Callithrix jacchus: one gene and its partners. The protein of the gene in region 1 interacts with the protein of each later gene in a biochemical or structural test. Links are inferred from orthologs where the notes say so. Each region holds a gene or a part of one and is shown on either strand. Other genes may lie near its edges. The genes, in order: PDGFRA, PDGFA, PDGFB and PDGFC.

Region 1 (7,618 bases):
CTGGTGAGCTGTGCTTATTCATTCAGAAGTCAGGCCCTGGCTGAACTGATAGCTCTTGGAGAAGGCCATTGCTCATCTCTGAAGGTCTGGTTTTCTCTTGTAAGAATTGTGTGTATGTTCCAGACCTTCAGTTTATGCACTGTGTATTGAGAAATCCAGAAAAGAGATGATATGGACAAGAAAAAAAAAAAGATGACTTTACTTTTTAAAGTAAAAATAAAACTTAATTGAAGAGTACAATTGCTTAAATGATTGGAACTTACTTAGCTACTGCTTGTTGAAACAAAATCCTCTTTTTAAAAGGTATCGAAGCCAATTAAAGCTAATCCGTGCTAAGGAAGAAGACAGTGGCCATTACACTATTGTAGTTCAAAATGAAGATGATGTGAAGAGCTATACTTTTGAACTGTTAACTCAAGGTATGTAAAGGGAGTGTAAAGATAATGCTAGCTGTATAGATGAGTGTCTTCCAAGGAAAGTCTGGCACTTTTCTCCCAAGTCATAGAAGAAAAGCAACACTTAAGGGAGGAGCAGTGTCTGTAGATGTCACGTATCAGGGATACCTTTGCTGGACTCATGAATTCAGGTATTTCTGGGAGGTTCTGGATTACTCCAGAATAGGTGGGGAATCCCTAGGCTCCACTAGCTTTCTTTATTTATGTAGAGATATAGGGTCTTGCCATGTTGCCCAGACTGGTCTCCTGGGTTCAAGCTATCCTCCCACTTTGGCCTCTCAAAGTGCTGGGATTACTGGTGCGAGCCACTGCATCCGGCCTCCACCAACTTGCTTGGCACCCGCTTCTCAATATGGCACCTCCAGATCTGAGAAGAGAGAAGTGATACTTTTTGGTTCAGATGACCTTAGATTGTTCTGGAGAGTTTTGCTACAAATTTTCCTTGAAGACATTGTACAGTGGTCCCTACCAGAATGGAAGGCCCAAGTCTGTTTACATTCAGGCTCAGCAACTATCCTGAGTCCCAGCCATGTGCCAGGTGCTGTTTGAGGTGTGCTTATGTGATCCTTGCAGTAAAACCTGTGATACAAGTATCATCGTATCTCTAATTTATTTCACCACAGATATAGAGAAGAATCTTTAAAACCTAATAACAGGCTGGGTGTGGTGGCTCACACTTGTAATCCCAGCACTTTGGGAGGCTGAGATGGGTGGATCACGAGGTCAGGAGATTGAGACCAACATGGTGAAACCCCGTCTCTACTAAAAATACAAAAATTAGTTGGGCTTGATGAAAGGTGCCTGTAGTTTCAGCTACTCAGAAGGCTGAGGCAGGAGAGTCGCTTGAACCTGGGAGGTGGAGGTTGCAGTGAGCAGAGATCGCACCACTACACTCCAGCCTGGGTGACAGAGTGAGACTTTTTCTCAAAAAACAAACAAAACCCCAAAGTATAATATACCACAGATGCATTTTGGTAAATGCTGCTTTAGATTATACTTTAGCTGAATCCATTAATTGAATCCTAAGCTATAATATAATGTTAAGAACCTCCTTGCCTTTCAAGCCAAGTAACCAGGGACTTTCCCTCCCTCCCTGATTCTCTCCCTCCCTGCCTACCTCCCTACTTCCTTCCTTCCTTCCCTCATTCTTTTCTTTTCCTTCCCTCCTTCCCTCCCTCCATCCCTACCTTCCTCTCTTCCTTCCTGCCTGCCCGCCTTTTGTTCTCTTTCTCTCTGCTTTCTTTCTTTTCTTTCTCTTTCTTTCTTCTGTTCCTTTCCTTTTCTTTCTTCCTTTCTTTTCCCTCTGCTCTCTTTTTTCTTCTCTTTTCATTCCCTTCTTTCTTTCTTCTCACCATGTTGCCCATGGTTGCCTCAAACTCCTAGGTTCAAATGAGTCTCTTCCACCTCAGCATCCCAAGTAGCTGGGGCTACAGCTGTGAGCCATCATGACCATGGGCTTCCCACTTTCTTCACTCCAGGTTTAAAACATCACAGACATAAATCTCAAAACCCCAAAACTGTGAAAATGCTGCTAACCAAGTGTGTCTGTCTACACTGGAGTGTTACTTGTACAACTGCTTTCAGCCCCACTGGAGTAGTTTGAATGGCATGTGGATGAGTCGTGAACTCATATTCCACCTTGTCGTCCCACATGTACTGGGACAGGAACTCTTCCATTCTGACTTCTTTCTGCCTCTTGCAGTTCCTTCATCCATTCTGGACTTGGTTGATGATCACCATGGCTCAACTGGGGGACAAACTGTGAGGTGCATGGCTGAAGGCACGCCGCTTCCTGATATTGAGTGGATGATTTGCAAGGATATTAAGAAGTATGGAAAATAGACGTGTCTTCTTTTGTGGCCAGAATCTTTCTCCCTTGACGCAAATGATGTCAAATACATTTTACTTATTGACTGTAAGATAGGGTTTTGGGTGTGATAGCTTCAGGGTGTGTATCTTTTGTCACGAATAGCTATAAAGAGAAGGTCTATGGCTTTCATTAGACGTTCAAAGTGTCTCCAATTTGAAAAAAAGATGAATTTTAAGAACCGCTGTCCTAAGGAGATTTCTACTACCCTGGCTCAGATTTCTTATTTGGTGAACTTTGTTTGGTGGCTGAACTGCATGTAAACATAAATGTGACTGCTTAGTCCCTCATCTGCCCACCTGCTGTTTGGCAGGTTAATTCGCCAGTCCTTCCTCCCTCCCCCAGTCCTCAGACTTCTGAAATGGGCACATAAGCACTGTGTTTACACTTTATCCATGGTAACTGGTTGTGTTGAGAAGCCTCAGTTGCTTCTTCCTCTAGACGGAGACCCCTTATCTTAACCTAGGGCTAAGGATGGATTGGATGTCGTTTCTAGAAGATTCCAGTGTGGAGCAGGAATCTAGGTCTTATAACTCAATCCGAGGATTGCCACAACCGTAGTGACACCTTAGGGGCTCTTCCCAGTGTGGGTGGTGAGAAGGGAGGGCTGCAGGCCATTTTGAAGGGGTGAGAGATTGAGATTATTAAATATGGTTGAAATTGTATTGTTCAGTTTGCTCATAGGTTCAAGACTGGGGACTGGTCATCATATTTTATTAAACTTGTTTATCCCTACCTGCTCAGTAAACAGTTAGCTTTCAGTTGTTCATGTGTGAGTTATTCCCTCTGGAGCATATGCAAACAAGTTTTAATGTTCATTCACATGTGAAATAAGTCAGCGTATAGTGCCCCGAAATGTAGACCAGGTCCCACCCAACCTCTTACCATCTTAGAGAGTTCCCATGGCTCCACTCATCGCCATGACTCTCGGGAATTGGCCCTATACTTAGGCCCTTTTTCTCTTTAGATGTAATAACGAAACTTCCTGGACAATTTTGGCCAACAATGTCTCAAACATCATCACGGAGGTCCATCCCCGAGGCAGGAGTACTGTGGAGGGCCGTGTGACTTTCGCCAAGGTGGAGGAGACCATTGCGGTGCGATGCCTGGCTAAGAATCTCCTTGGTGCTGAGAACCGAGAGCTGAAGCTCGTAGCTCCCAGTGAGTTGCTCAACAGTCAGGACGACTCATCAACTGAGCCCTGTCTCCCCACCATCCCATGGAACCTTGAATCTCAGATAGGGTCATATAGGAATGAAGGTCCTATATGAAATTCAGTTATGAATGCCGTTAAAGGCATCTGGGACTTTGCTTTATTTTTTGAGAGTCTTGCTCTGTCGCCCAGTCTGGAGTGCAGTGGCGTGATCTTGGCTTACTGCAACCTCTACTTGGGACTTTGTTTTAGATTCAGATCCAAAACCACATCTTGCAAAGGCCCCTCAACATTTTACTTGTCTAATAATTTTGTTTATCTAATAAATTTGTCTAATAATTTGGCTTGTCTAATAATTTACAGTCTCTACTTTGAATGTCTGTGTATGTGGATGGAGTGTGGGAAAGAAGGATCTTCTGTCTCATTGCTCCTTAAAGGGAAGATGAAGACAAAAGCAATATAAGCAAAATTCAACTTAAAAAATAAGCTTTATATTAAAGTATATGAAGTAGAAGTTTCTGCCCATATAGTAACTGTCAGTTGCATTTATCCATCTTTTTTTTATATGGAGTTTCACTCTGTCACCCAGGCTGGAGTGCAATGGCATAGGCTTGGCTCACTGCAACCTCCGCCTCCCAGGTTCAAGTGATTTTCCTGCCTCAGCTTTCTGAGTAGCTGGGACTATAGGTGCATAACACCACACCCAGCTAATTTTTTTTTTTTTTTTTTCATTTTTAGTCGAGACAGGATTTCACTATGCTGGCCAGGCTGGTCTTGAACTCCTGACCTGTGATCCACCCACCTCAGTCTCCCAAAGTGCTGAGATTACAGGTGTGAGCCACCGTGCCCAGCCTGCATTTATCCATCTTTATGATTCCTATTCTAATTCTGTCCACAAGGTTACTATTGGAACAACTTTGGAGAAAAAATACTGAGTTTTCCTGATTGAATTTTGTCCTCTTCTTGTATAAGGAAAGAGTTGATGTAGTTTCCTGGGTGTAGATGTTTGAGAGATGGTACTGCCTATCCCTAAAATGAACCAGGCAGCCCTCACACTTCCCCACCAGCATGAGAGATTCCTGGCTCAGACAGCCACACCACCTTGTTGCCGCCCGTGTGTCCTTGAGGAAACTCTCCATTGTGCCTCTCTCTCTTGTCACCTAGCCCTGCGTTCTGAACTCACGGTGGCTGCCGCGGTCCTGGTGCTGTTGGTGATTGTGATCATCTCACTCATTGTTCTGGTCGTCATTTGGAAACAGGTAGGTATTTTCTCATAAAACTAAAGATCTTTGAAGCCAATGGTAACGAGAAGAATAGCAACCAAGTTCAGTGCTTGGCACAGAGAAGGGGCTCAGTATTTATATGTGGAGTGTTCGTTGTCGGACTCTACTTTGTCCAGTCTCTGTGCTGTTTCAGTGAAGCTCTAGTGCACTGGAACTTGTGGTAACTCACCAGTTACCTGTCCTGGTCATTTATAGAAACCGAGGTATGAAATTCGCTGGAGGGTCATTGAATCAATCAGCCCTGATGGACATGAATATATTTACGTGGACCCGATGCAGCTGCCTTATGACTCAAGATGGGAGTTTCCAAGAGATGGACTAGTGCTTGGTAAGTTCCATGGGGGTGACCGCCCAAGACTCCCTTTTCCCTTGCACACAGCTTTACAATTTAGAGGCCTTGGCAGAATAGAGATCTGAGCTCGTGCTTAGTAAGAACTAAGCAATAGAAATTTGCTTTCGGAAATATATTTCCGTCTTGACAATGAGTTAATTGGATCATTGCAATGATTTTTTTTAAATCTCATTTCATAACAAATTATGGTTAAAGAAAATTTTACAAAGGGAGAAGAGAATATGAAGAGGGCTGGCAAAGATACCCACCAAAATTGCTTTGCTTTAGAAATGACACAAACAGAAAATGAGATGAATTTCTGTGACTAAAAACGAGCAGTTGAAAAATGAATGAGGACAACTGCAAAAATGTATTTTGATTCTGTACATTCTGAAGATGCATTAGATATTCTTTTTTATATATTTGGAATATGGAATATAAAAATATAGGTACATTTTAAGGCAAAATGTGTAAAAATAAGGAAGCCAACTTATCACAAGCATTTCAAATATTTCAATCCTGGGCTGAGACCAAGTATGTGAAGCTTTAGTCCAAGGGAATATTTCTTTTTTAAATCACATTCCGAATGAATGAAAACAAGACACAGACAAATGAAAGTAGAGGTAGAGGTTGTGTTAGATGAATGATCTAACAGTATATATGTTAACGAATGCCAAATGCAGGTTTTAATTATCCACCTGTCTCATTCCAAAATACAGAAGAGTTTAAGTCTTCTTAGAGAGTTACTTCAACTGAGAAATCAAGCAAGTCACCAGAGTGAAATCACCTTTGCAAAAATTGTAACTGAGGAAATTATGACAGTGAATGAGATACGATCCAATCAACTCCATCTTGCTTTAGCTTCCAAGCTGTCCTCGTTCCTTCCTGGGCATAGGCCGAACCGACTTTGAGAGGAACTTGGTTTATAGTTTGACTTTGATAGGAAGACAAGAACAGCCCTTTGCCCAAACAAACCCTCTTCTTGCCTGGGAACTAGACCACCTTTGCAAGACTAACAAATTAACTACAAGATTAGAAAAGATGGTTTAAGAATCACTGCTGTAAAACCTGAGGTCAGTGCTTGAGATATTTTAGAGACCCTGTATTTCAGTGCACCAGCTGACACCACCCAGGTCTCATCTGATCTTGTGGCCTGTAACTAGGAACTGACTCAGCTCAAGAGGCCAGGGTCAGCTACCTATGATTTCATCTTTGACCCAACCAATCAGCACTCCCATTTCACTCTCTACCCACAAAATCATCCTTAAAAACCCCATTCCCTCAGTTTTCAGAGACACTGATTTGAGTAATAATAAGATTCCAGTCTCCTGTACAGCTGGCTTTGTGTGAATTGAACTCTTTTTCTATTGCAGTTCTCCTCTCTTGATAAATCCGCTCTGTCTAGTCAGTGGGCAAGGAGAATCCATGTGTGGTTATAAGAACTGATCCCAATTTCAAATACTTATATCTAAGCATTCTTTATTTTCTTGCCTATTTCCCAAAAAGGGATGAGGAGCTTAGGGAGTTAAAAAGTGGTAAAATAGGCCAGGCATGGTGGCTCCTGCCTGTAACCCCAGCACTTTGGGAAGCCAAGGTGGGCGGATCATCTGAGGTCGGGAGTTTGAGACCAGCCTGACCAACATGGAGAAACCCTGTCTCTACTAAAACATACAAAATTAGACTGGCATGGTAGCGCATGCCTCTAACCCCAGCTACTCGGGAGGCTGAGGCAGGAGAATCGCTTGAACCTGGGAGGCGGAGGTTGCAGTGAGCTGAAATCGTACCATTGCACTCCAGCCTAGGCAACAAAAGCGAAACTCTGTCTCAAAAAAAAAAAAAAAAAAAAAATAGTAAAATGTGGGGAGAAAGGCACTATTCCCATTATACCAAGATACATTGCTGGCGAAGCAATACCTTTCGAGGTACAATTTCCAGTAACACAAGCATGCAGTAAGAGGCAGTATTGGCTGTTAGTGTCTTTGATGAGCCGAGTCTTTCCCTGGCTTGCCTATCCATGATGAGACTGACACCTTGGGAAACAGTTCTCGAAGACTGTGAACCCTTCCAGGGTGGGGACAGCAGCTTCAGTGTGCTCTCCGGCCCGGTTAGTTCCTGGTGGAGTAGCCTTCCTAACAAACAGGGAGCCTTGAGCCCAGCCTGAAGTTTTTACTTAGTCACTCCTTGGAATCAGTTATATTTTGAATACTGAAATATTTCCAGTGACTAAGAATTTACTAAGACAAAAGATGCCCCTGTTTGCATGTGGAAAACAGAAGGAGAGAGAACCAGGGGATCTGGGTGAGAGCCCCTGAAGGCGGAGGATCCCAGGGGCTGGCCCTGCACGCAGGGGAGCCGGTAGACAGCGGGTTCACACCGGGGAGGGATGCACCCTCCTTTCTCCGTCTGTGTTTTCTTTCCTTTGCAAATGTTATTTGACAAAAGCAATTATGCTAATTTCCTTCCCTGTGGGCTCAATTCTGTTTTTGACACCGTGACTTAGAGGAGTCATTATGCTTACTCCAAACGGGA
Region 2 (8,066 bases), on another chromosome or scaffold:
GATTTCCTGGGTCAAGAAACTACAGAAACCATCGGCCTTGTTAGAAAATGGTTTTGGCATGAAACGAAAATAGTTCAGGCCTCTCCACCACCATAATTAGGTACAAATTTCCAAATGACTAGACCATGTGATTTCACTTAATCCCCCCACACCCTCCCCTTTTCCAGAGTCCTCTGCAGGGAGAGAAAAGTCTTCATTTCATGTAACTTCTTCCAGTTCTGCTGCCTTTAGCTACTCTTTTTAACAAGTTTATCGCAGGCCCATTTTGAAATCAGCTAACGAGTTCTGCCACACGAGGATTTCCCTGGTTAAAGCTCAGATTGCAGTTCCCCAGCCAAGTGTGCATTTTGAAAAGGGCGCCACAAGGACCTGGAAGAAAGACCTCGCCTTCTGGGAAGGGGCTACCTAGCCCCGAGGGGGCGGGCGGCCACCCTACACCCCCGCCCCTCCCACCCAACGTGGTCCACCGGGGTCCCCCGGGTGTGAGAAGCCCCTTTAACCCTTGCCAACCCGGGTCGAGTCCAGCTCTGCAGCTGACATTCGCCCCAAAACTCTGTCCTTGCAAATAAACTGTTTTCTTTAGTGGCTCGGCCTCAGGGCCTGAGGGTGAGACGCAAAAATAGCCCCCAGGCAGCAGATGCGTCCAAGTCCCGGCTTTTTATTAGGTAGTGAACATAGAAAGACACCGGCCTCCCGAAGCCACAAAGGCCTAGCCCTGCGGCAAGAACGCCGCACCAGCTCCCAGGGATTACAAAGGGGCCGGGCCCTGATCGGGGGCGGACTCCGCCCGCCCCTGGGTCAGGTAGCCGCGCCTGCCCCTGGGGCCTCGCTCCGCGGGCTGCCCGCCTGGCGCACTAGCCAGGGCTCCGCGCCCAGGGCCTGGGCGGGCTACCGACGCTCCTCCGGCCCCAGGGCAGGCACGGGGCCGGCACACCTGGCGAGGGCGCCGAGGCTGAACTTTTTGTGACACACGCGGCGTTTTCCTTCAAGGCGAAAACAATCCCTGGGCGAGCGAGCAGCCCTCGACCGCGACTGGGAGAGAAAGTGGCGATTGAAAGAGAAACTCCTGACTCATCCGCCTGGGCGCTTAGGGCCGGGGATTGGATTCTGACCTTTCGGTGCGCTGTGCGGCGCCCCTTCCGGCCCCAGCTCGGGGCGCACGGGACGCACAGGCCGCCCGCCCCGCACCTCCCCGCGCCGAGGGAAGGGGCGCGATTTACCTACGGAGTCTATCTCCAGGAGTCGCTGGAGGTCCCGGATGCTGTGGATCTGACTGTGCGCCAGCCTCTCGATCACCTCGCGGGGGATCTCGGCTTCCTGCAAGCAGAGACCACAGGGTCAGCGCCCGCGGCCCAGGGCCCGAGGAGACCCCGCGAGCGCCGGCCGCAGCCCTGGCCCCAGACCCCAGGGAGCCCTCGCCCCGGCCCTGGAACCAGAAGCCGGGGGTGGGGCTGGAAGAAGACCACGAATTCTCCACCCCTGTCCATGGTCTGCCCTTGGCAAAATCAAAGTCCCCCCCGCTTTACATTTTCAAACAAAAGCCCCGCACTCCGGCCCCTCCGCCCGGGGTGTCAGTTACAGAAGATCTGAGGGCAGCTAGGCGGCCGGGAGTTTCTGATTTAAGAGTGAGATCAACATCTAGAAAGATCAAGTTAAAATGCGTCACGGATCAGCGAGAGTCACGGCAGCCCTCACACTTTAATCCAGGCAGGGCTTAAATTTCACGCCCGGAATCCCGGGCCGAAGCCGCGGAGAGGTCTCTCCGTCTCACAGACACACGCGCGCGCGCAGACACACGCGCGCACACACATTCACTCACACACTCGCCCCACCCCGGGCTCCGGCCCAGCCGCGGCCCTAGCGCCGACTGAGATGCCTAAATCCAGCCTGCGGGCGGCTGGGAGAAGCCTTCAGGGAGAGCGAGGGTTAAACTTCCACCTCGCCCAGCTCCGGGCCCCGCCGAGACCACCCTCACCTTTGGCCTCACCCAATTCCCTTCTTGATTTTTAAGGAGAGTCGGGGGTCGCTGGGGAGCCTGAAGCACTAAGTTCCCACGCCGGGGGCTGTGGAAAGTCATTCATCACAGCAAAGCTCCCGGGGATGGGGATGGGGATGGGGGGGCGGGGACGCCGCGGTGGGAGGGTGCGGGCGCCAGGTCCGGCCCCAGCTCTCCTCGCTCAGCCACCTGTAAGCAGGCCCGGGCGGGCGGGACTGCGTCGCCCCTGAGCCCCGCCGGGCTCGGGCACCCGGACCCGGGGGCTGCGGCTCGGCGCTGCCCACCTTTACCGGCCAGGGGCTTCCGCAGCAGCCGCCCCTACCTGTTTATCGGGCGCCCTTCCCTCCTCCCCAGGCACCGCCGGCTCACACACACAGACACACACACCCCCTTCCCCGCTCCCCACACCCCGCTGCCGCAGCGCCCGCAGAGCCCCAGCTCCCCTTCTCCGGAGAGGCCCCAGCGCCCCCCGAAGTTTCTCCCCACTCGTCCACCTCGCTGATCCCCGGTTCCCCCCGAGGCAGAGCGACGCAACACGCTGGAAACTCCCCACACACTTAGGTATGGCAGAAAATAGAACCCAGTTGGGAAAATTTAAACACGGACCACCCTAGCAGAAACCGAAATGCTCTCTGCAGAGCCCGTGTCGTCCCAGCCGGCGGGCGGGCGGGCTCCGGGGGTGTGCGCCGGGGAGCCGGCGCAGAGACTGGGCGCGGGGGCGGCACCCACCTCGGCCAGAGCATGGGCGAGGTATCCGCAGCCGAGGAGCAGCAGGCAAGCCCAGGTCCTCATCGCGTCCCGAGGCGCTGGCGGCTCGGCGGGGAGGCGAGGCCGCGGGGCGGGCGCTCCAGCCGGGCTCCTGTGGCGGCGAAATTCAGTACCATCCCTTAGGGAGCGCGGCCCGGAGGAGGGTGGCGCGGGGAGCACGGAGCTGGCAGAGCGCGCCCGGCGCGAGCAGTGAGTGCGGAGAGGCAGGCAGCGCCAGCCAGGAGGAGGAGGAGGAACGGAGTGCGCGCCCGCCGCGCGGGGAGCCTCCTGGGCCGCCGGGTAGGGGGTGGGGACGGAAGGGGCGGAGGACGGGGGCTGGGCTTCTTCCTTGGTGCGTTCCCGGTGCTGGCCGCCGCCGCGCTCGCTCCCCGGCGCTGGCTTCAGGAGCGACCCGGCCGGTAATTCTGAATATTTGCGGGCATCGGTCCCCGAGAAGAACTCTGGAGGGAGGCTGGGGCCGCCGCCGCGCCACCGATCACCTGTCTGGACGCCCGGCCCTGGCTACGGGCTCGCGCTCTCCCTGAGGGCTGCCAGCGGCCCTGCGCGTCCACCGCCGACCCCGCGCTCGCCTCCGGCCTCCTCTCGCAACCGCCGCCCGGCCGGGCACAACACGGCCCAGCACGGCGCGGTCGGGCGGCCTGCGTGCGCCCCTCCGCGGCGCGCCCTCGGCTCCGCCGCCGCGCTCCGCCCTCCGCCCGCCGGGGCCGGGCAGCGCCCGCGGCCGAGCTGCCTGGCAGCCGCCACCGGTCCGGGGCCTCGCTGCGCCGCCCGCGCGGGCCTGAGGGCGGGCGCAGGGCCCAGCCGGCGCCTCCGCCGCTGCAGCGGCCGGGAGAGGAGGAGGAGGAGGAGGAGGCGCAGGCAGGCCCGGCTCGCCGGAGTTGGGCGGGCTCCGCAAGGCGCGCGTGTGGAGCCGGCCGGCGGCGGAGAGAGGGTTATAGCTCCGCCGCCGCGCCCCTCCCCCGCCCCCGCCCCCCCCCCGCCTCCCCCGGATTCCGGGCCCCGGACCCGCACCTCGGAAGCACGCGGGGTTCGTGCGGACCCGGCAGGGCTTGGGCGCCGCCGCCGCGGCAGGGCGTACACACGCGCTAGCGCAGGCAGCTAAATCCATCAAAGCCCCGCGCCCAGCTCCGCGCCGGGGCTCCGCGCCCCTCCCTCAATCTTGCCCACCCTCCAGTGCCAGCTGCAATCCTGCGGCACCGGGTGGGGAGGGAGGAGGCCGCCGCAGAAGCGCCGCCGTCGCCGGCTCGCCTCTCTCGGGCCCCAGCGGCGGCAGCCGGCAGCGCCCAGAGCTGCTGCGCCAAAAAGGGCGAGAGAGCCGGCCCCCGCCCCCGCCCCGGCGCTCCGGCCGCTCTCCACGGTTGGGATCCAGGGCCCCAGCCTTCCCCTCTCCATAAAAGGAGGGGGAGTCAGCCGTTGGGGAAGGCGGGGGACGGGTTTGGGACACTCACCTGGCGGCCGCCACGCGCCCCCGCCCAGGATCCGAAGCCCGGGGCTTCTGAATGAGGACCCTCCACCCACATTTCCACTTGGGAACGAGCCCAGGTCGGGGGAAGGGGCTGCAGCCCGTCTCATCCCCACCCTGGGACCCCGCGCCCCCCAGACCCCTATTCCCGCGCCAAAGGCAGGGCCACGCTCTGAGCTGTGAAGTCGAGGGGTTGGAAGAAAAAGGAGGCACCGGTGAGGGTCCCCGGGTTCTGAGCCTCCGGCGTCGGGATCCGCGGGACTCGCAGAGCGCCACCTCCGGCCGAGGCGCAGCTCAGAGCGCTATGCGTGGGAGGAACGCGCGCCGAGGCCGAGGTCTGAGCGTGGCTAGACGGCTGCACGCCGAAAAAGGGCGAGTGCGCCAGGGCGGGATGATTTCGCCTCCCTAGACCAGGTGGGATTGGACCCGAACTCCGGGTCTAGATGCCCGTCAGTGCCCTGCCGGAGGGTCTACGCGCCCTGGTACCGGGTTCAGCGCGGAGGTGGGGGGGGGGGAAGCGCGCAGTGCAGACCCTCAAGCGAGACGGTCTAGGCCTCTGGAGACTAGGAGACGCTCCCGTGGGTGGGCAGCCGAGGAGAATTACGCCCGCCCCAGCCGTCACCCCCAATTCCGTGGATTAAGCCCCCGCCCCCGCCGCGGCCGCCCTTCCTCTAGACAAAGGCGGTTAAGGCGCAGGCCCGCGGGCGGTCTTTCATCCCCAGCTCCGCCGATTCTAGCATTTCAAAGGCCGAGTCCGGAGGGCGCTTCGGGGGCTCTCGCCTTCCCCCAGATATGTGGCAGGCGGGGCCTCTCTCACTGCTCCCAGTGAGTCGCGTCTACTTACGCCCTGCCACACACCTGCAGGCCCCCTCCCAGGTTTCTCCCTCCCCTGGCCGCAGCCCCGGCCCGAGACCCCCTCTGGGTAGTCAGGACCACGCGGGAGCCGGACACGTTGAGAAGCACCTGAAAGCCAAGTCTCGTCCCTCCAGGGGGAACTTGTGCGGCTCGGGAGGGGACGCCCACTGGATGGCTTCTGGGAGGAGCCAGACCCGGCCTCATTCCTCGGTCAGTTATTCCGGAGTCGCACGCACCCTGTCCTGCTAGGTCTCGGACCCCTTGTGGGCAGAGGGGGGCCGAAAACACCTTTTTGGGGTAGAAGACTTAGGTGACGGTGTGGAAAGCAAGGAGGAAGGTCGCGTTGTATTGGGGATGGAGGACCCGTCCCAGCTGGCTGGGTCCTGGTGTTTCTCGCCGCCTCTTGGGGGTCTAGATGGGTGCTTCCCTCGGCTCCCCAGCCCGTCCTGGAGCTACGGGTGTGCATAGCTCGAGTTTAGGGCCACCTGAGGACGTGGAAGCGGCGCTGGAGCGAGGCGGGGGCTGGGGTGGGGCGTGGGTGCATCACCCGCGGGACGCAGAGCTTAGGCGAAAGCGGTGCAGGCATCTCTCTAATCGCCGGCCGCTATTAAAAATAAAACCGCGACCCGTCGCCATGGTGACCACAACAACAGCGGCCGTGCGAGGGAGGGGAAAACTTATGCAGCCGCGCGACAGCCGCCTTCGGGGGAGACTTGGGGCACTGCGTGCCCCAGAGCCCGCAGCCCACACGGCATGGGACAGGGATCCCCTATCAGTCCCGCCCCGTTCTCCTCCGGGTCCCCAGAAAAAAACAAGGAGACATGGACCCCCACAGGCTTTTTTCGGGGGCTGGGCGCTGAAATCGCAGGACTGACTTAACCAAGAGGTCACTGGCTTGGATGAAACCCGCGCCCACGTGGAACCCCCTCCCCGGCCTTCGTTTCCATTCACACTCCCAGCGTCCTCATTTCAGCCCCGGGAGAGGGAGGCGGAGGGAGGAGGTGGGTTTCGGGTGCCCGGCCCAGGAGCGGACGGTGCGACCCGAGCCCGACCGGCGGGTTTTGTGCGCCGAGGCTGCAGCACCTGCCCCGCCCGCCCTGAGCGCTCCTTGCAGATGGGGGCGGTCACATGCTTCTTTCTGGCTGGGAATCGAGTTTCGCTTCCAGCCGCTATTAGTCGGTTCACACAGTTCACTGCAAACATTTGATAATGAGGCTAAATATACTCCTGCGTCGGAGGAGGCGTGGGCGGCCGCGGCCTGGGCGCGTGGGTACTGCGCTCTGGGCTCCGCGGAGCGTCCCCGCCCAGGCCCGGGAGACAGAGGCGCCGACCCGGGGTAGCTGGCTTTTTGCGGGAAGGAGACGCGCCCCGAGCGCCTCCCCAGAAACACTCCCACCCCGGGCTGCGGCGCGCGTCTAGGAGTCCGTGGGCGCCCCAAGGTGTGCCCGGGGCCCCTGGTGGAAGTGGCGGCGCTGCGGGGAGGGGGTGCGGGGAGCTGCTGGTGGGAGGCGCGGTGCACCTGGCGGCCTGGGATGTCCGGTCGCCCCCGGAGCCGGTGCTTCCTGCCTTTCCCGGCGCGCCCCGACGTGCCCGCGGGTCCATAATTACCGTGAGTCAGGTGACCCAAATAGGCCGAGCGAGGGGGCCTGTCGCGCAGCCGGGGCGGGTGGCCGGACGTGTGCCCGTGACTGGTTCCCTTCCGCCCTCCCCGGGACCGACCCTGGCACCCAGGAAGGGCGGGAAGAGCCTTGGCCATTTCTCAGGATAGGGGGCTGCAGAGGTAATAGGCTGTCGCCGAGCCCAACCCTTCTCCCTCGTACGCACTGAGGCTGCGCGTCCGGGGCCGTCCCGGCTTGGACGCAGAGCTATTCCTGTCGTAATTTAGTAGTAGTAGTAATGGCTGACATTTACTGCGACTTCAATTGCACCAAGTGCTAAGCTATTTCCTTGTATAATTTCATGGACACTCACATATCAACGCTAAGCGCATACTTGCTGCCTCTCATATTACCGAGTCCCGAGCAGCAGGGCTCGGCACCCCAGGGCACCTCTGCAACCTCGATGAATAGATAGGATCCTCAATTCTCAGGGGCATTTATAACCGGAGTGGACAGGCAGGAACAGGAATGACGCTGTGGACACTCGGGAACCACGTAGCAGCCAACACCGCCCCCCATCCCAGTTCCCTCTGCTCTCTGTCCCTTGACATTGGCCTTGATGAGATCTGTCCCTAGACTGCCCTGGGTGTCCGTTCCCTCCTCTGAAACATGGGAAGCCGACAGCATCACCACGCACAGCTGTGTCCTCTGTCAGGAAACCTTCCTTCCACTCACCCGCCCAGGAAAAGCTGCACTGGGATGCCCTGGGTTAGGACACTCCTGGCCACCTGTGTGCCCCTGGGGTGGGGGTGGGAGGGCCAGCTGGGCGCCCGAATCCAGGCCTCTGTCCCCCGTGCCAGAGCAGATTTCAGAACAATTTGTAATGACGAAACCCCACATTCCCCTTTATCTCTGGGCAAGGCTTTCTTCCTTCTAGGCAATTAATCCAAAAGCAACCCAGCCGTGGGCTGGACTCCTTGAAGATCAAAACTGTCCAGCGCGGGCGTTAATTAAGTCATTATCTCAGGCCCCCAGTGACTAGGGATCAGGCCTTTCCAGTTCACACTCCCCAGAAAGGGAGATAACCCACCCCACCCTCCCGCCAGTAGGGTGAGATGGCTCTCTCTCGGTGTCGTTTTAACTCCCTATTAAATCATTTTATTTTCTTTTAAATATACAATAGAACTGATGTTGAAAATAGCACATGAGCCCACAATCATTTTTTTAACATTCTGTGAATGAAGACATGTATGAAAGGACACTTCGTGGCTTCAAGAAATGAAAGCGCAAAGTCTAGCTAAACCAGGGCCATTCTGTCCAGGAGGGACGGCCACGAGTGGCCGCTGGGCACGTGAGACATGGCAGGTCCAAACTGCACAGTGGCAGT
Region 3 (8,087 bases), on another chromosome or scaffold:
AAAAAGAGGATTTTAGCACAGCACTCAGGCCCGGCTGGCGTGCAGTCCCTGCCACCTCTGCTGTGCCCTCTGCTGCCACTTCTAACCCATGTACTGGCACCTGCATTGCCATGGTTTGCGTCTGTCTTGCTCAGAGCCTGGGAAGTCCCTGAGTGCCAAGGCTGGGTCTCCTTCCTATTCCATTTCTCAGGGCTTCACCCAGGGGCCGCACACAGTAGGTGTTCCACGCTGCTGCTCCTAGCAGCCTTCCCTCTCCCCCAACTTGTACCTAAGTCAGAGTTCATACAGGTCCAGCATTTACTTTTTAGCCGGCAGAGCATGTTCCCATACATGAATGCATGTAGTGTGCACCGAAGCAAGCCCAGTGTCAAAAGTGTCATCGTTGTCATCAGCATCACCCACCAGAAAACAGCACAGCACGGTGGTTTCAGCATGTGGGCTCTGTAGCTGGTCTGCTCAGATTCAAGACCTGGCCCTACCACTTATGGGCTGTGTGACCTTGAACAAAAGTTTCTTGGCCTCTCTGTGCTTCCGTTTCCCCATCTGTAAGATAGGAATGACACATCTCACAGGAGTATGGAGAGGCTGCAGGTAGAGTAAGGAAAACACTACCTACCGCCTTAGCTCACTACTCATGGTAGCTGCTACCATTCTATTTATAGAGCAGGACACAGAAGTTCAAGGTCAAGATGACCCAGCTATCTGGTGGAACAGGGTTTTTATCTCTGAGTTGTTAGACCTTAGATTTCAAATACAGTGTTTAGGGATAATCTCCTCCTCCCCTTGCCCCACCTCCCTTGTCACCTTGTCTCCTAATTTATCTGTTTATACATCTGGTTGTCCTTCTCAACGGGGCTCTTCAAAGATAGGGGCCTGAATTAGGTTGGTTCACTCCTGTCTCCCCAGGGCCTGGAGCAGTGTGGGGCCACCAGTCAACTCCAAGGCCGCATGGAAGAAGCCACACACTAGCTTCCTGCTGAGGTGTTCTGCTGAGCACCACATGGAGGATCTCATGGGCGCCTCCAGACCACTCTACGAGGTGGGTGAAAATTCTCTACGTATGTCCTGAGGTACAATAAAGTGCACACATTTTGTTCTGATGTACGTATCCACCCACAATCCCATCACCACCATCAAAAATGACAAACATTTCCATTACCCCTAAAATTTTGCCATGCCTCTCTGATATCCCTCGCCCCTTCCAATTCTAGATTTATTTATTTTTTTAGAGATAGGGTCTTGCTCTGTTGCCTAGGCTGGAGTGCAGTGGCACAATCACGGCTCACTGCAGCCTCAAACTCCTGGGCTCAAAGCCTCCCAAGTAGCTAGGACTACAGGTGTGTGTCACCACACCCAGCTCCAGTTTATAAAGGAGGACACTGAGGTGCTGAGAGGTTAAAAAACCTTCCCAGAGACACTTGTCCAGCGAGTGGCCACTCCAGGATTTGAACCAAGGTGATGTGTCCTCAGGCTGCCTCTCTGCCACTGTGCCATGCCGCTGAGTAGCAGTCAGCAGTGGGCGGGTGCCTGTAGTGGTCTGTAAAGACCACCTGAGATGTCCTCCCTCCTCTGTTCCACCATGTCCAGGTCCATGAAGACAGTTTAGGAAGAGACTGCAGGTGTGACTCTCAGTGTGCTCCTGTATGAGAAGCAGGCTGGCACCCCAAAAGGAAGGATGGATGACAGACAGAGACTGTGTAAGCAGAGGAGGTAAGGGGGCCGGAAAGCCCGGAGGCTGGGTGATGCAGGAGCCTGCATGTCCCGAGGAGGGTGCTGGGCCCAGCGTGAGTACGTGTGACTGTGACTGAGACAGTGTGACTGCTGAAGGCAGGGACATAGCAGCTCCCTGACTGGGGGCGGAAGGCGGTAACTGTGTGAAGGCTGGTTGTGGGTGGGTGGGCTCTGGGCCTCGAACCCGGGGCTGAGGGAGATAGTGAACAGCAGGGTGACTGGCGGGAGGATCCTGTTGGTTGCCCTGGGAAGATGCCGCAAGGCTGTGGGAGATTGTGTGACTTTGCAGTTCAACACATTCAAATTCAGCCAATGCTGGCAGGGCCTGTTGTGCCAGGCAACCGGCGAGGAGGAGGAGACTCGGACCCAGCTTGCAGCTGAAGGGCGCTGGCTGCCTGGTTTTGTGGGTTCACCTTGTGGTGCCTTTTGCCCTTGCTGGCATTTAGTCCTCAAAATAGCCCCATCCTCGCGTTGAGGCTAGATGGAGGGAAACGGAGGAAAGTGACTAGCCCAAGGTCACCCAAGTGCCAGGGCAGGACCTGAATTCAGGCTCCCAGGCTGCAAAGCCTGAGTCCCTCCCCGCCACGCCTGTGCCAGGGTGGAAACGTCTGGTCCTGGAGGGGAGCTTGGACTCCTGGCCTTGGCTCTGGAGACATCCCCCTGGACCACGTGGGCTCCTAACCTATCCATGGTCACTGTGCTGAGGGGCGGGACGGTGGGTCGCCCCTAGTTCTTCTTTCCCTGGGGCCAGATTCATGGACGAAGGGGCTGCTCGGCTCTCAGAGACCCCCTAAGCGCCCCGCCCTGGCCTCAAGCCCTCCCCCAGCTCCCGCCCCCCTCTCCTGGCTCTGACTCCGGGCCAGAAGAGGAAAGGCTGTCTCCACCCACCTCTCGCACTCTCCTTCTCTTTATAAAGGCCGGAACAGCTGAAAGGGTGGCAACTTCTCCTCCTGCAGCCGGGAGCGGCCCGCCTGCCTCCCAGCGCGCCCGCAGCCTCCCCCGCTGCCTCCCTAGGGCTCCCCTCTGGCCGCCAGCGCCCATTTTTGATTCCCGAGATAGAGATATTTTGCGCGCACACACATACATACACGCGCAAAAAGAAAAAAAAAAAAGCCCACCCTCCAGCCTCCTTGCAAAGAGAAAACCGGAGCAGCCGCAGCCCGCAGCCCGCAGAGGACGCCCAGAGCGGCGAGCGAGCAGGCAGGCAGACGGACCGACGGACTCGCGCCGCGTCCACCTGTCGGCCGAACCCGGCCGAGCGCAGAGCGGGCACGCCGCGCGCGCGGAGCAGCCGTGCCCGCCGCCCGGGCCCCGCGCCAGGGCGCACACGCTCCCGCCCCCCCACCCGGCCCGGGCGGGAGTTTGCACCTCTCCCTGCCCGGGTGCTCGAGCCGCCCTTGCAAAGCCAACTTTGGAAAAAGTTTTTTTGGGGAGACTTGGGCCTTGAGGTGCCCAGCCCTGCGCTTTCCTATTTTTGGGGCCTTTCCAGAAAATGTTGCAAAAAAGCTAAGCCGGCGGGCAGAGGAAAACGCCTTTAGCCTGCGAGTGAAGACGAACCATCGACTGCCGTGTTCCTTTTCCTCTTGGAGGTTGGAGTCCCCTGGGCGCCCCCACACGGCTAGACGCCTCGGCTGGTTCGCGACGCAGCCCCCCGGCCGTGGATGCTCACTCGGGCTCGGGATCCGCCCAGGTAGCGGCCTCGGACCCAGGTCCTGTGCCCAGGTCCTCCCCTGCCCTCCAGCAACGGAGCCGGGGCCGGGGGCAGCGGCGCCCGGGGGCCATGCGGGTGAGCCGCGGCTGCAGCGGCCTGAGCGCCTGATCGCCGCGGACCCGAGCCGAGCCCACCCCCCTCCCCAGCCCCCCACCCTGGCCGCGGGGGCGGCGCGCTCGGTTTACGCGTCCGGGGCCCCGCGGGGCCGGGCCCGGAGTCGGCATGAATCGCTGCTGGGCGCTCTTCCTGTCTCTCTGCTGCTACCTGCGTCTGGTCAGCGCCGAGGTGAGTTGCCACGGCGGCTGGGGCTAGTTCTTCATTCATTACCTTCGCCCCCACCTTCTCACCGCCCCCTCCTCTCCCTGCAGTGAACTTTGGACCCTTGCAGCCCGCGAGCCTGACGCCGGGCTCTGGGTGACCTCCTCGGGCTGGGAGCGAGGTCCGCGGGTGACAGGCTCTAAGGGAAGGCAACAGCGGTGGTTTTCTTTCCAACCGGCGGGCGAACCTGGCTCCCTAAGCCATTCCGCGTCGGGGGAGGGTGTGTGTGGCCCTGCCCCCCACCCCTCGGGAACCCGAGAACAAGCCCGTTCCCGGCCGGGGAAGAGGGGGTGGGGTGGCGCCCCGGGTGCAGAAGACAGCGCGTCCTCCCGAACCCACTTCGGCGCCAGCCTCGGCTTAGGCTCTGTCCTGCCACCGGCTTGCCCAGGAGGTGCAAGCTTGCGCACAAGTGCCATCCACGCCGATCTCTGGCGGGGTTCAGGTCCCACCCTGGCTCCCGGTGGGGGTCCGGGTGGGCGCCCTCCGGCACGCGCAGGGCATGCCCGGCCCCAAAGCACTGTCTAGAAGCAGCTTGTGTCTCGAGCGCGGGGACTGGGGGGTGGGTAACCGGGAGAGAGAGAGCTAGAGGGCGAGACGGAGGGACAGAGGCGCAGGTAGGTTTCGGGCACTCGGGTAGGGGAAGAGCTGAAGGAATAAGGGGCTCTGAAGGAATCCAGCCCCCGGGGCGCTGTGTGCCTGAGGCCTCGCCGTACCTGTGCCCGCGCCCTGCGAGAGGAAGCACCTCTCTCCCCCGCATGCAGGGTGCGGAGCGCGCCGCCTGCAAAAGCCTAGCTGCACAGGAGATAGGGTATAAAAACATCTGCGGGAGCGCTGGGGTCGGAGCCGTCCCCACCCCTCCCAGCCTCACGTAGCGGTGAGTTGGCAAGTCTCCCCGGAATCCAGGTGGGAAAGGGGGCGGGGCGGGAGGACGCGCGCAGTGAAGGGGAGGAGAGGGCAGCCGGGAGCGCGGCGTGCCTGGGTCCCGTCCCACCCCCGCCCGGCCGCGGCCAGGAGTCCCCACCTCGCCCGCACCTCTCCGGCTCCCGGGGGGTCGGCCCCTGCAGCCTCCTGCCAGGAGCAGGAAGGAGGCAGCGGCGGCGAAGGGGTTAAAGCAGAGGGCTCGGAGTCCGCGGCCCGCCGTTGGGCCGCCGCCAGCGCAGGTTGTTTTGACCACGGAGGAGCCGTCGCCGTCTCCTTTTGTTCTCGGGGCTCCTCGAGGGCCGCAGGCTGCCCGCCCGGGGGCCCCGCCCTTCCGCGGCGGTCCTCAGCGGCCGGCACCCGGGAGGGAGGACGCGGGTCTCGGCCTGGCCGCCTGTAGGCCCCTCCCGACACCCCCTCCCCTCCTCTCCCGCAGCCCCCCGGGCCGCGGCCAGCTGTTGGGGAGGGGGTGGCCGGCCGGCCCCAGCTGCCGCCTCGCCTCGCCGTGGGACCTGGGGGCTGGGCCCGGTGCCAGGGCGTCCTGGGAACGGCGGCGCCCCGCGGCTGCTCTCCGCAGCCCACCCCGCCCGGGCCCCCGACTCGCTCACTCACCCCACGCATGCACACTCCTGGCCGGAGGCGATGCTGCGCTCCGGCGGGCGGGCGCGCAGAGCGACGGGCACGCACTACCGCGGCCAGGTCGCGCGCCCGCCGCCGCCACGCCCGTGCACACGCGGGACACACGCGCGCGCACCGCACACAAACGCACGCACGGCCCCTGCACGCGCTGTCTAAACACACGTGCGCGTACACCCACGCACGTACACAGGCACGCATGGACCCCCGTGCACCCAGCGCCTGGTGCTCGCCCCCGAGCAACAGGTGGGTCCCCCGTGGGCACCGGCACCTCACCACCTCTGTAGTAGCTCCATTTCCTTCCTGGCGTCCTGTGAGGGAGGAAGAACCTCCCATGAGGCCCCAGCTCCACGGCACCCACTGTTTTTTGCCTTGTCAGGTCAGCCCCTCAAACCTTACCCATGTACAACTGCTTTTTTTTCAACCACCTCCTCGTGGCGGAAAATGGTGGTGATGTGACTCTGAGGGGCACTGAGGTGTCCAGACCGATTCCCGCCTCGCATAAGCCATTTCAACGTGCAAGGCTGGAGGGACCTGGCCTGGGCAGCTGCGGAGAAGGCTCCCACCCCTGTCTGCTTCATTCTCTTGGCTGATCCCAGCGTGCCCCTGGGAGGCTGCTGCTGACAGCTGGATGTTTCCCCAGCCTCCCCTTACCATTTCCAGCTCTGTCCAGCACCTCCTCCTCCTTTCCCACAGCTCTGCAGGCTCGTGTATCTGGGGTGGAGGCTGCCGCACAGAAACTGCCTTTCTCCTCACTTTTGTCACAGCATTCTTGAACACATGGCCACAGGCACTGTGTATGTGGTGCTTTGCGGTTTATGAAGCACTTTGCTGCTAAGCCCGAGTAAGCCGCAGGCTAGCCCTAGGGGAGGAGACCTGCATGGGGATCACAGCATTTGGGGGCCAGTCTGGGAAGGAGCTGTGATGGCCAGTGCTGGGAGAGTCGAGGCAGGCCTGCTGGTGGAGGAGGCCTTGGCCACCTCCTGGTCATGCTTGGACCAAGCTTTCAGCGGAGGGCAGGCAGCCCTGAGGCAGGGCTGGGCGGAGGGTCTGCTGAGGCCTGTGAGGTGCCATCGCCACCCGCTGAGCTGGTTTCCAGGAGGGCGAGTCCCGCTGTCATGACACGTCTGGCCTCAGCACCCTTCTCTGGAAAAGAGTGAAGGGCTCCACAGCGCTTCGCCACCCAGCTTCCTCTGGGTTTGCTAATGGCCCTAGGGTGCAGGAGACCGACTGCTGGAATCCCAGAGCCCTGGAGGTGTGCAAGAGCAGGTCAAACAGAATTTGGAGGGTCTGGTGCAAGAGCCAGGAAGTGTGTGTGTGTGTGTGTGTGTGTGTGTGTGACAGAGAGACAGACTGATTGAGCAGGAACGCTGAGATGTTTACAATGGCCTCATAAGTACCTCTCCAATCTTGTCTTCCCCTCCCAGCATTGAGGAGCCTCTTCTGTGGCAACTCTTCCCATGTTCTGCTTTATTTCATTGCTTATTACCTGCTTTCCCCACTGGAATGTCAACCCCATTGGAGAGCTTTCCTCCTGGTCCCCACTGTTAGAACAGTGCCCAGAGCACTGTGGACAATCAGCAACTATTTGTGCAAAGAACAGTGAGTGCTGGGTTGCGGGGGAGGACAGGCCCAGGCCTCCTAGGTGCTCCAAGGCCCGAGTGACTCCTCTGCTCCAAGGGCAGCCCCCGCTTCTCGGCCCTCTGGTGGGCATCAGTCTTTCAAGGTCCCCCATCTTTAGAGAGAAGCATGTCTTTCTCTTCTCTGTCTTGGGACTTGGGCTGCCAGGATTAGACAGGACAGAGAAGAAACAGAAAGAAAATCAGACTGCAAAGGTTCTGTGTATCTTTAGCTGGGGCTAAGTTTCTGCCACCTAAAAAAAAAAAAAGAGAGAGAGAAGACTGGATTAGCTCAGAGTTTCCAAACTACGGTAGAATCCCCTGGCCTCGAGCTGGGATGGGCATAGGCAGTGACTGCTGTGGCTGCCAGTATTATAAATGGCTGGACTGGTTCCTCTCTTCCTGCTTTAATTTCCCTCTGCTCCTGCAAGAGGTGGGGAGGCCAGGGTGCTGGGCCCATGTGAAGGAGTGGAGGCTGAGCACGAGGGTCCCAGGAGCAATAAGGAAGGGCAATACAGTTTGGAAACACTGGTTCTAATGGCTTATGTGGTTTCCCCCGAGAGGGCTTCTTTGAAGGAGTTGGTTGGCTTTGGCATCTGATCTAAATAAGGCCTGCAACTCTCAAGCAGGCAGGCTCTGGGAGGCCTCATCAGCTTCTTCCTCTGCCAGACAACGCCCCTGGTTGCTTTGGCCTGTGTCTCCCTCGGTGGGAACAGCAGGCGGGCTGGGGAGTGTGTATCAGTGTGTGTGTGCTGGGCCTAGGTGGAGGGTGGGGTTCCAGCCCCTTTGATCTGCCAGCCTGGTTGGGAGCAGATCACTCACCTGGCCTCACGCTTGCTCGTGCCCTTCCTATCTGCTGCAGCTGGTGCTGGGGCGGGGTCAGAGGAGGCTGTTTGCCTTGGCTCCCATGGCTGGCTTTGCCCCAGCTGCTGCCTTGCCACGCCCTTGCCCTGCCAGAAACCCTGGGCCTGAGATCTGGGACAGCTTCTTCAGGGTGCCAGGCCTCCTTTCTCATCTTTGAAAGGAGCTGCCCACCTGGAGACCTGGGGAATCTGTGCCCAGGAAAACCAGGCTCCTGGCAGCTCACCTTCCCATACCAAGAGGAGCCTCCGACTCCCAACAGGTGCTCGTGCTCATCATCCACAGAGGATCCT
Region 4 (6,968 bases), about 100 Mb from region 1:
ACTTCCATATGAATATTAGGATCAGCTTGTCAATTTCTGTAAAAAAGCCATTTGGGATTGCATGTGTAATTAAAAAATATATTAATAACTATTAATATAGTTATTAATCTGAAAATATATACTCTACAAAAATGGTAAAATTCTTCTTTAAATTGCAAATAAATTTATATTGGATAAGATTTACTGTAATAGGTTAGCAGTTTTGAAAGAAGCAGAATATGGTACAGGTAGTGTGCAAATGCTGAGGCAGAGAATAAAGAGATATAATTAGTATTTTAGTAAAGTGTGAGGAAAGTATTGAGCTAGGTAAGTGCAAGAACAGTGCCTCAAAAAGAGAACATAGTTACGTGTTAGCATGGAGATATATGGAGACATTGGTATTTTCAGGAAACTAAGTGTTTACTAGAGCTGTATGTTAGGTTTGATGATGCAAAATCAGTCAGCAATTTTTTAATCAGTCAGGATTATTCATAAGGAAGTTATAAATCATCAATCATGGATATTTTTATATGTTCATATTTTAAATACAGTTTTAAATTCTGAGAAAAATTAATCATACTATAGAACAAATATCTAAGACACAATGAATGATGTATTAGTTAATCTCCTTAACTTTAACAGTTATCTGAGATACCTGGGGGTCTAATGAGAAATAAAATGGGGAAAAAAATGGGAGCAAGTCATTGTAATATGACAATATTTGTGATTGAATATTCCTGGAAGCACAATGGCAGTGCTGCCAGTGGAAAGGAAGGTGGAAAAGAGCTTCACTGTACAGAAATGGAAAGGGAAACAAAAATACAAGAAATATCAAAAAGTCAAAGTCACTGAGACTTCGTAATAGATTACATGTGGGGCATGTATGGAAAACAGGATGCAAAGCAATTATTCATTGCAATGGATTGTTTGTATCCCTTCAAAGTTGTATTTGAAGCCCTAACCCCTAATGGGATGGTATTAGAAGGTGGACCCTTTGGGATGTAGTAAGGTCATGAGGGTGGAGGATTGTGAAGGAATAGCTTGTGCCCATACAAAAGGGTGCACAGAGAGTTCTCTCACCATTTTTTCTACAAAGGGAAGACATCACAGAGAGGAGAGTCTGCAATTCAGAAGATGGCCCTACCAGAATCAGACCATACTGGTGTCCCGATCTTGGATTTCCACCCTCCAATGATGAGAAATAAATTTCTGTTGTTTAAACGCTTCCCAGTCTATAGTATTTTGTTACAGCAGCCTGAACTGACCATGACTTTTCCTACTCCTTGTTATGAATGCAAAGAATGTTATAATTTTAACCGTCTTTATAATGCATAATTGAAACAGTTTAAAATATCAGAAGGGAGACTATCACGTTATCCTTTTAGAGATAATGATATTACACTGAGTGTAAAACTTGCATTTTCTGCCTTTTGTTAAACCGAATCACAAACCTAAGTCAATGCACCTGGAGACAGGGAGGCACCGAGGCTAACCAAATCATGCCAGATATTTCTCCAGTGTAGCTTCTCGTTACTTTGGTCTTTGCACCTTTTCCACGTGCACATGAGAATTATTAGATGAGGGAGGGGATGTAGAAATGAGTTGCAGAAATGAAAAGTGTGGACATGAACACCTGCCTTATGATATTTAAGAATTGTTTAAGAAACGTCATTTGGCAGCCCATGACTCGAGGACAAAGGCATGAAACACACAGATATCATATACAAAGCAGAGTGTGGTCAATACAGTCAATACTTACTGGACTTCTCAGAAATTGGGTCACACGTGCTATTTATGTATTTTTTTCCTTTTAGTAAAATACACAGGATCTATGAGTAAGTGATTATAAAGTGGTTAGTCCTCACATGGTAACCACTCACCAACCAGCAACAGTGTGAGGACTGCTACCTTTACAGTATCTTCTGGCTGTCAACATTGTATAAGTAAACAAAAAATAAATATTAAAAAAGGGAAAAGAGATTGGAAACACTGGATTAAACATAGTTAAACAGGCCATTTACTAAGACTTAGTGGTCTTTACTATGCTAATGAAAGTTGTAAATTGCCAACTACTTTGCATATTCCATGGAGCTATATCTAGTTGGCCTCTATATGGATAGCACAAAACTAGGAAAAGGTAAGCAAGTAAGGCAGAACACATAGGCTCGTTTTGTTCCTTTGTTTTTCATGTAGTTGGGGGCAGGGTAGACCTGCAAGGTGTGAAAGCACAGGAGAAGGGTGGTTGCCTGAGGAGTCGGATGAAGACAGATGGCCTTGGACACTAGACATCTCTGGCAAATTGAAAGGCTGAGGAAATGATGCTGAAGATACCAGCTCTGAATAAGAATCTATGTCTGGAATTGAGGAACCACACCTTGATGTGTGCTATGTAAAATAATCTATACACCAAATCAATTTACGCTCACCCTATTTAGTAGTGGCCAGTGACAATGAAAACAAGAGTGGAAGCTGCCAAGCTTCTTTTTTCCAGTTTTATACTACCATATAACCTATCACTAAGTATTTCATAAACCATACAACAACTTTCAAGTCAGGTGAAATTTAAATTACCAGAAATCTGTATTAAGACACAATGAGAAAAATAAAACCACTGCTCAAAGGCATTGGAAACAAGAAGCAGAGAAAGGCTCACAGAAATACTCCATTTTTTGTCCTTTGAATTGACATATGCTTTTGCATAATGAAAATAATAACACAATACTTTATTGCTTTCATTTTCTCAGAGTCCAAGAGGTAAATCTTGAGTGCACACACACACATACACACACTTAATTTTCTCCCCCAAATAGCCACATTCTTTTATTTGATGATTCAATACATTTTTAATTCAAATAGTCACCACATAACCTAGTTACGATATTAAGCATTTTACAAGCAAAATAGTTTACTGATTTTCAATTGCCAAAGAGTACAATAAGTGAAATGGTTAAAGGTGTACTTCTGTACATAAAAATATCCATGTATTTATATAAGTGTATGGAACAGAGTGCAAGGTCATAAAACTGTTACATCACAATAAATAGGATGTGTTCCTACAGCATAGCACAGCACGCCTTGCTGGGAAGCGGCCAAGTCTTTTTCAAGGTGCTTAATGTTCTTCTGAGCTAGGCTCAGATTTCCCCAAAAAAGGAATAGGTTAGTAATGGTTGGATCTGAATGTCTACTTTCATAAGTTGCTTTTTATTTTCATCTCCAATAACAGGAATGGAAGATATCATAATTTAAGTATTTTCAAAAAGTCTTTGCAACTTACCAATTCTATTGATTTCCAATTCAGTTTTTGAAAATGCAGAATAACTCTAGCACCATACGAGAATGAAATACATGTATTTTTGTCAGAGCAACAATATTTTATATCATCTTTGTTCCTCTGGCTATAACAATTCTGTTTAGAAAAAATTTATCAAGCTAAAAATAGTTGATCTAAGTTGTCATAAAAAAGAATATTAAATACCTTTGGTAAAAATAGATATTATTTAACAAGATTAGAAAAGCCAACAGTTATAATGTCAAAAGGAGAATATAAAAATGTACACAATAACACAAATAAACTGACTTGGAGATAAAGTGAAGATAAGGCCACTCTTGTTTTCAGGTTTGTCTCTTCCAAACCATGAATTTAGTTCTCTTCTTCTAAATGGCAGAAATTTTAATAAGAAATATGAAAAATCCAGTCTTTCCTATCAGCATGACACAAGTTTAATTAATAGCAACATAGTTCCTTTTTAAAAACTAGGTTTGTAGTAAGTACATAGAATGTTCTCATTTACTTATGTGAATATGAGAAAAAAATCCAGATTTTATATAATTTTAGGTCCAGAACATGGAGCTTTAGAGTTAAGCAAGACAACAGAATCAGGTGCTCACTTGCACAGTTTTTTCCTCTACTGACATTACCCTAAGCCATATCAAAACATCTGAAATACAGAACGCAGCTAGTGGAATAGGTACACGGTAACTCTGTAACTAGCTGGTGATCTATTTAATACAACATTTAATTTTCTTTCCACGATTGAAGAACTTTTCTCCTGTCCTTTGGGCCTCCTCTCAAAAGAGCTGTTGCACAACTCCTAATTCTGTTTGATGACTCCTCTTTCAGAATGCACTGTAAATCCTGAAGATGAAAGGTCCTTGAAGCAAACAAATGAGATTAAGGATGGAGATAACATGTAAGTTCTCTAACAGAATCAGCCACTGCTCTGCACAGCTCTGGGCAAGAGCTGCTGGTGGTCATGTGGTTATCCTCCTGTGCTCCCTCTGCATACACAGTCACACTGCTCATGGTGCTCCATGGCCACATCGGTGAGAGATTTATGCAATCCCTTGACACCCGTCTTTGGTCTCAACTGCAGGACCTGAAAGGGAACAATAGTAAGCCACCTTTAAAAATCAATGTCTATGACTTGCTTTTATAAACAAGTAATGTTTTATAAAAGAATCTTGGGGCCCAACAATGACTCAAATTTTAATTTTTCCAAGAGGAGGCATTATGGAAACACTTCCCTACCAAAAAAAAAATAATTCATAACTTATCATCAGCATTTCAGGTAAGGACAGACATTCTAATGCCAACAATTTGGAAGCATTCTGTCTCCGAATAAGGAACAGTACTTAAATGGAAAGACTCACCATGCAATAGTTATTTTCTTTATCTGACTATATTAGAGAGAATTTCACCTTCAGTATTTTGGAACTACCAATACACAATTCGTTTTTCTGTTTGTTGCTTTCTTTCACTTATTCATTGATTCACACACTTAACAAATATTTATACTTGATGCAATACACTCAAGTACAGAAATTCTGTGGAAAGAAACATGATCACTCCACAGCTGAGTTTGCTCAATTATGCCACTCATTAATTTTCTTGGCTACACTTCAAGTCCTCTATAAACTTGATGAGATGGATTAGATGTACTTCATAGACATCAGCTCCAGTCTCAGCTAACTTCCTGCAGCTGGATCCTACTGTGCAGTGAGAAGAGGTTTGGCAATAATAACAATAATGCCTCTATTAAATAAACTCATTTGCAGTTTGGACTGTCAAGGGTTTTAGTAAAAATACAGCAAGATTGACACTTACAGTACACATATTTCCCCTTAAAACTATGACAAAAAGATATAGTTGTGCATTCTATAAAATATTATTTGAAGTATTTGATTTTGCTACCTATTTAATGTATTACATTTTATTTCTTATGAGAGAAACAACAAAGTTTAAGAAATTGTATTTTGTTTGGATTATGAACAAAGGCTAGAGAACAAAATAATATGAAATTTTCTAGCATCTCTCCTTTTTGGATATGAGATAGATAATGTCATAAAGCAACTTCTAAAAGCTATTGTTCCTGAAAATGTGCATTAATCCAAAAAGGCACAAGTCAAGTCTTATGACTGTTCTATTTAGAGACTTAAAAGAAAAACAGAGAATGCGTACCTCGCTGGAGTATGTGGTAATATCAGAGGTTAATTAGCTAACATTTTTTGAATGCTTACTGGGTGCCAGGCACAATAATAATGTTTTTACATACTTTAACTCAAAAGAATCCTATGAAGTAATTTACATTACCCCTATTTTACACATGAGTGAACAGAGGCTTAGAGAGAATAAGTGACACCGACTTTATTTGTACTTAGGCCAAAGATGAATTATTAAATTAGAGTGATGGATAATAATTTTATAGACTCAGAATATTACTGCTCAAACATTCTATTTATTTAGTAACTTTCTTCCTGAAGAGATAAACTTCAAAGTCTTGTAATAACTATTAGAAATTGTAAACTTTTAAAGTAGAAGTGGTTTTCTCATTTATTTCACAATTCTAGAATAAAACTTACTTAAACTTTATTTTTTTAATGTGATATTTAACTCAGTGATTACTGAGTACTATTTTATGTTCGTACCGATGTACTATTTTTCAACAATTTAGGGTGGGATCAAGCTAGCTACATTTCAGATACTGGCACTATTCCTTATCACAGTCTTGCTCCAAACTGTTTCTGGAATGAGGCTGGGTGGGTAAGATAAATTAAAATATTGGCAAAGCCAGTGTCTTTAATTCCTATATCTACCTGTATGCATTTTCCATTCAGCAAGGAAAAAAATTACTATGTAAGGTAAAGGTTAGAGAGGCTACCATACACAGTCCTAGCACTCAGAAAGGCCAAGCTGCAATCCTTGCTTCCTCTAGCATACATATGCCAAGATGCATTTGCTGAATCAAAGTCCCCTGTCTTTGTCTGCTGATGCTCATGGAGATTTACATAGAGTAGAAGAATCTCCTAATGTTCTAGTAAGTTTAGTCTTAGATAAGAAATTCTAATGGTGAAGGACACAATTAATGTTCTTCTTTTTAATTCGTTTTGAAAGTTTTGACTTGGAAGAGAAAAGTAGACTTGGAAAATGATTAGCAGGTTCCAGAAAATATTAAAAAGGAAAAGGACATAAATTATGCCACCAGAAAAGAAACAGGACAGAAGTTCATCTCAGAAAATTTAGAGGTTGAAATTAAAATAATTCCATGAAAAGTAATGTCCAGGGAGAAGCTGAGTCAGAGATTATGGAAGATACTAGATCAGACACAGAGAACCAGCAAAGGACAAGTGCTTATGGACCACTGCTCAACACTTTCAAACAAAATGACCTTAAACTTCTGAGAACCACAGAGCACTGGGAACAGAGACTCGGTATTAGAATAAGACAATTGAATGGTATACCTCTTTAGGTCTGCTTGTTAATAATAGCCTGTAAGACTATTATTTCATAAAAAATTAAATATGTAAAAATATAGAGAAGATGAAAATGATTACGCAAAGAACAGAGAAAATGGAACAAATACTATTGTCAGAGTGTCCTGTAGACCTTTTGGCCAGAACACCTTTCCTCCTTCAAGGCAAAATTTATAAAATCTTTCCTGATCATTTACTATAATCAAAGAATAAGACTAGGCATGGTGAAAAAGTAAAGA

What was found.
Region 2: the proteins of PDGFRA (region 1) and PDGFA form a complex in vitro, tested with the Homo sapiens proteins (2 studies listed by BioGRID). The link is inferred for Callithrix jacchus from reciprocal best matches to the Homo sapiens genes PDGFRA and PDGFA.
Region 3: the proteins of PDGFRA (region 1) and PDGFB form a complex in vitro, tested with the Homo sapiens proteins (3 studies listed by BioGRID). The link is inferred for Callithrix jacchus from reciprocal best matches to the Homo sapiens genes PDGFRA and PDGFB.
Region 4: the proteins of PDGFRA (region 1) and PDGFC form a complex in vitro, tested with the Homo sapiens proteins (2 studies listed by BioGRID and IntAct, with this or other methods). The link is inferred for Callithrix jacchus from reciprocal best matches to the Homo sapiens genes PDGFRA and PDGFC.

What each region holds. Positions count from the first base shown.
Region 1 is NC_133504.1:142,480,859-142,488,476, reverse strand, and holds part of PDGFRA (platelet-derived growth factor receptor alpha precursor), read left to right. Parts: intron 1-303; coding exon 304-419; intron 420-2,157; coding exon 2,158-2,284; intron 2,285-3,289; coding exon 3,290-3,483; intron 3,484-4,639; coding exon 4,640-4,734; intron 4,735-4,953; coding exon 4,954-5,086; intron 5,087-7,618. UniProt on the Homo sapiens protein: Tyrosine-protein kinase that acts as a cell-surface receptor for PDGFA, PDGFB and PDGFC and plays an essential role in the regulation of embryonic development, cell proliferation, survival and chemotaxis.
Region 2 is NC_133503.1:58,739,907-58,747,972, reverse strand, and holds the start of PDGFA (platelet-derived growth factor subunit A), read right to left. Parts: upstream 4,535-8,066; 5' UTR 4,337-4,534; coding exon of another isoform or gene 4,285-4,336; coding exon 4,213-4,284; intron 4,043-4,212; exon of another isoform or gene 3,873-4,042; coding exon of another isoform or gene 3,776-3,872; intron 3,007-3,775; exon of another isoform or gene 2,856-3,006; coding exon 2,726-2,855; intron 1,318-2,725; coding exon 1,225-1,317; coding exon of another isoform or gene 1,221-1,224; intron 1-1,220.
Region 3 is NC_133502.1:210,042,040-210,050,126, reverse strand, and holds the start of PDGFB (platelet-derived growth factor subunit B), read left to right. Parts: upstream 1-2,667; 5' UTR 2,668-3,664; coding exon 3,665-3,727; intron 3,728-4,317; exon of another isoform or gene 4,318-4,374; intron 4,375-4,519; exon of another isoform or gene 4,520-4,634; intron 4,635-8,087. UniProt on the Homo sapiens protein: Growth factor that plays an essential role in the regulation of embryonic development, cell proliferation, cell migration, survival and chemotaxis. Potent mitogen for cells of mesenchymal origin.
Region 4 is NC_133504.1:39,644,556-39,651,523, reverse strand, and holds the end of PDGFC (platelet-derived growth factor C), read right to left. Parts: intron 4,356-6,968; coding exon 4,239-4,355; 3' UTR 2,773-4,238; downstream 1-2,772. UniProt on the Homo sapiens protein: Growth factor that plays an essential role in the regulation of embryonic development, cell proliferation, cell migration, survival and chemotaxis. Potent mitogen and chemoattractant for cells of mesenchymal origin.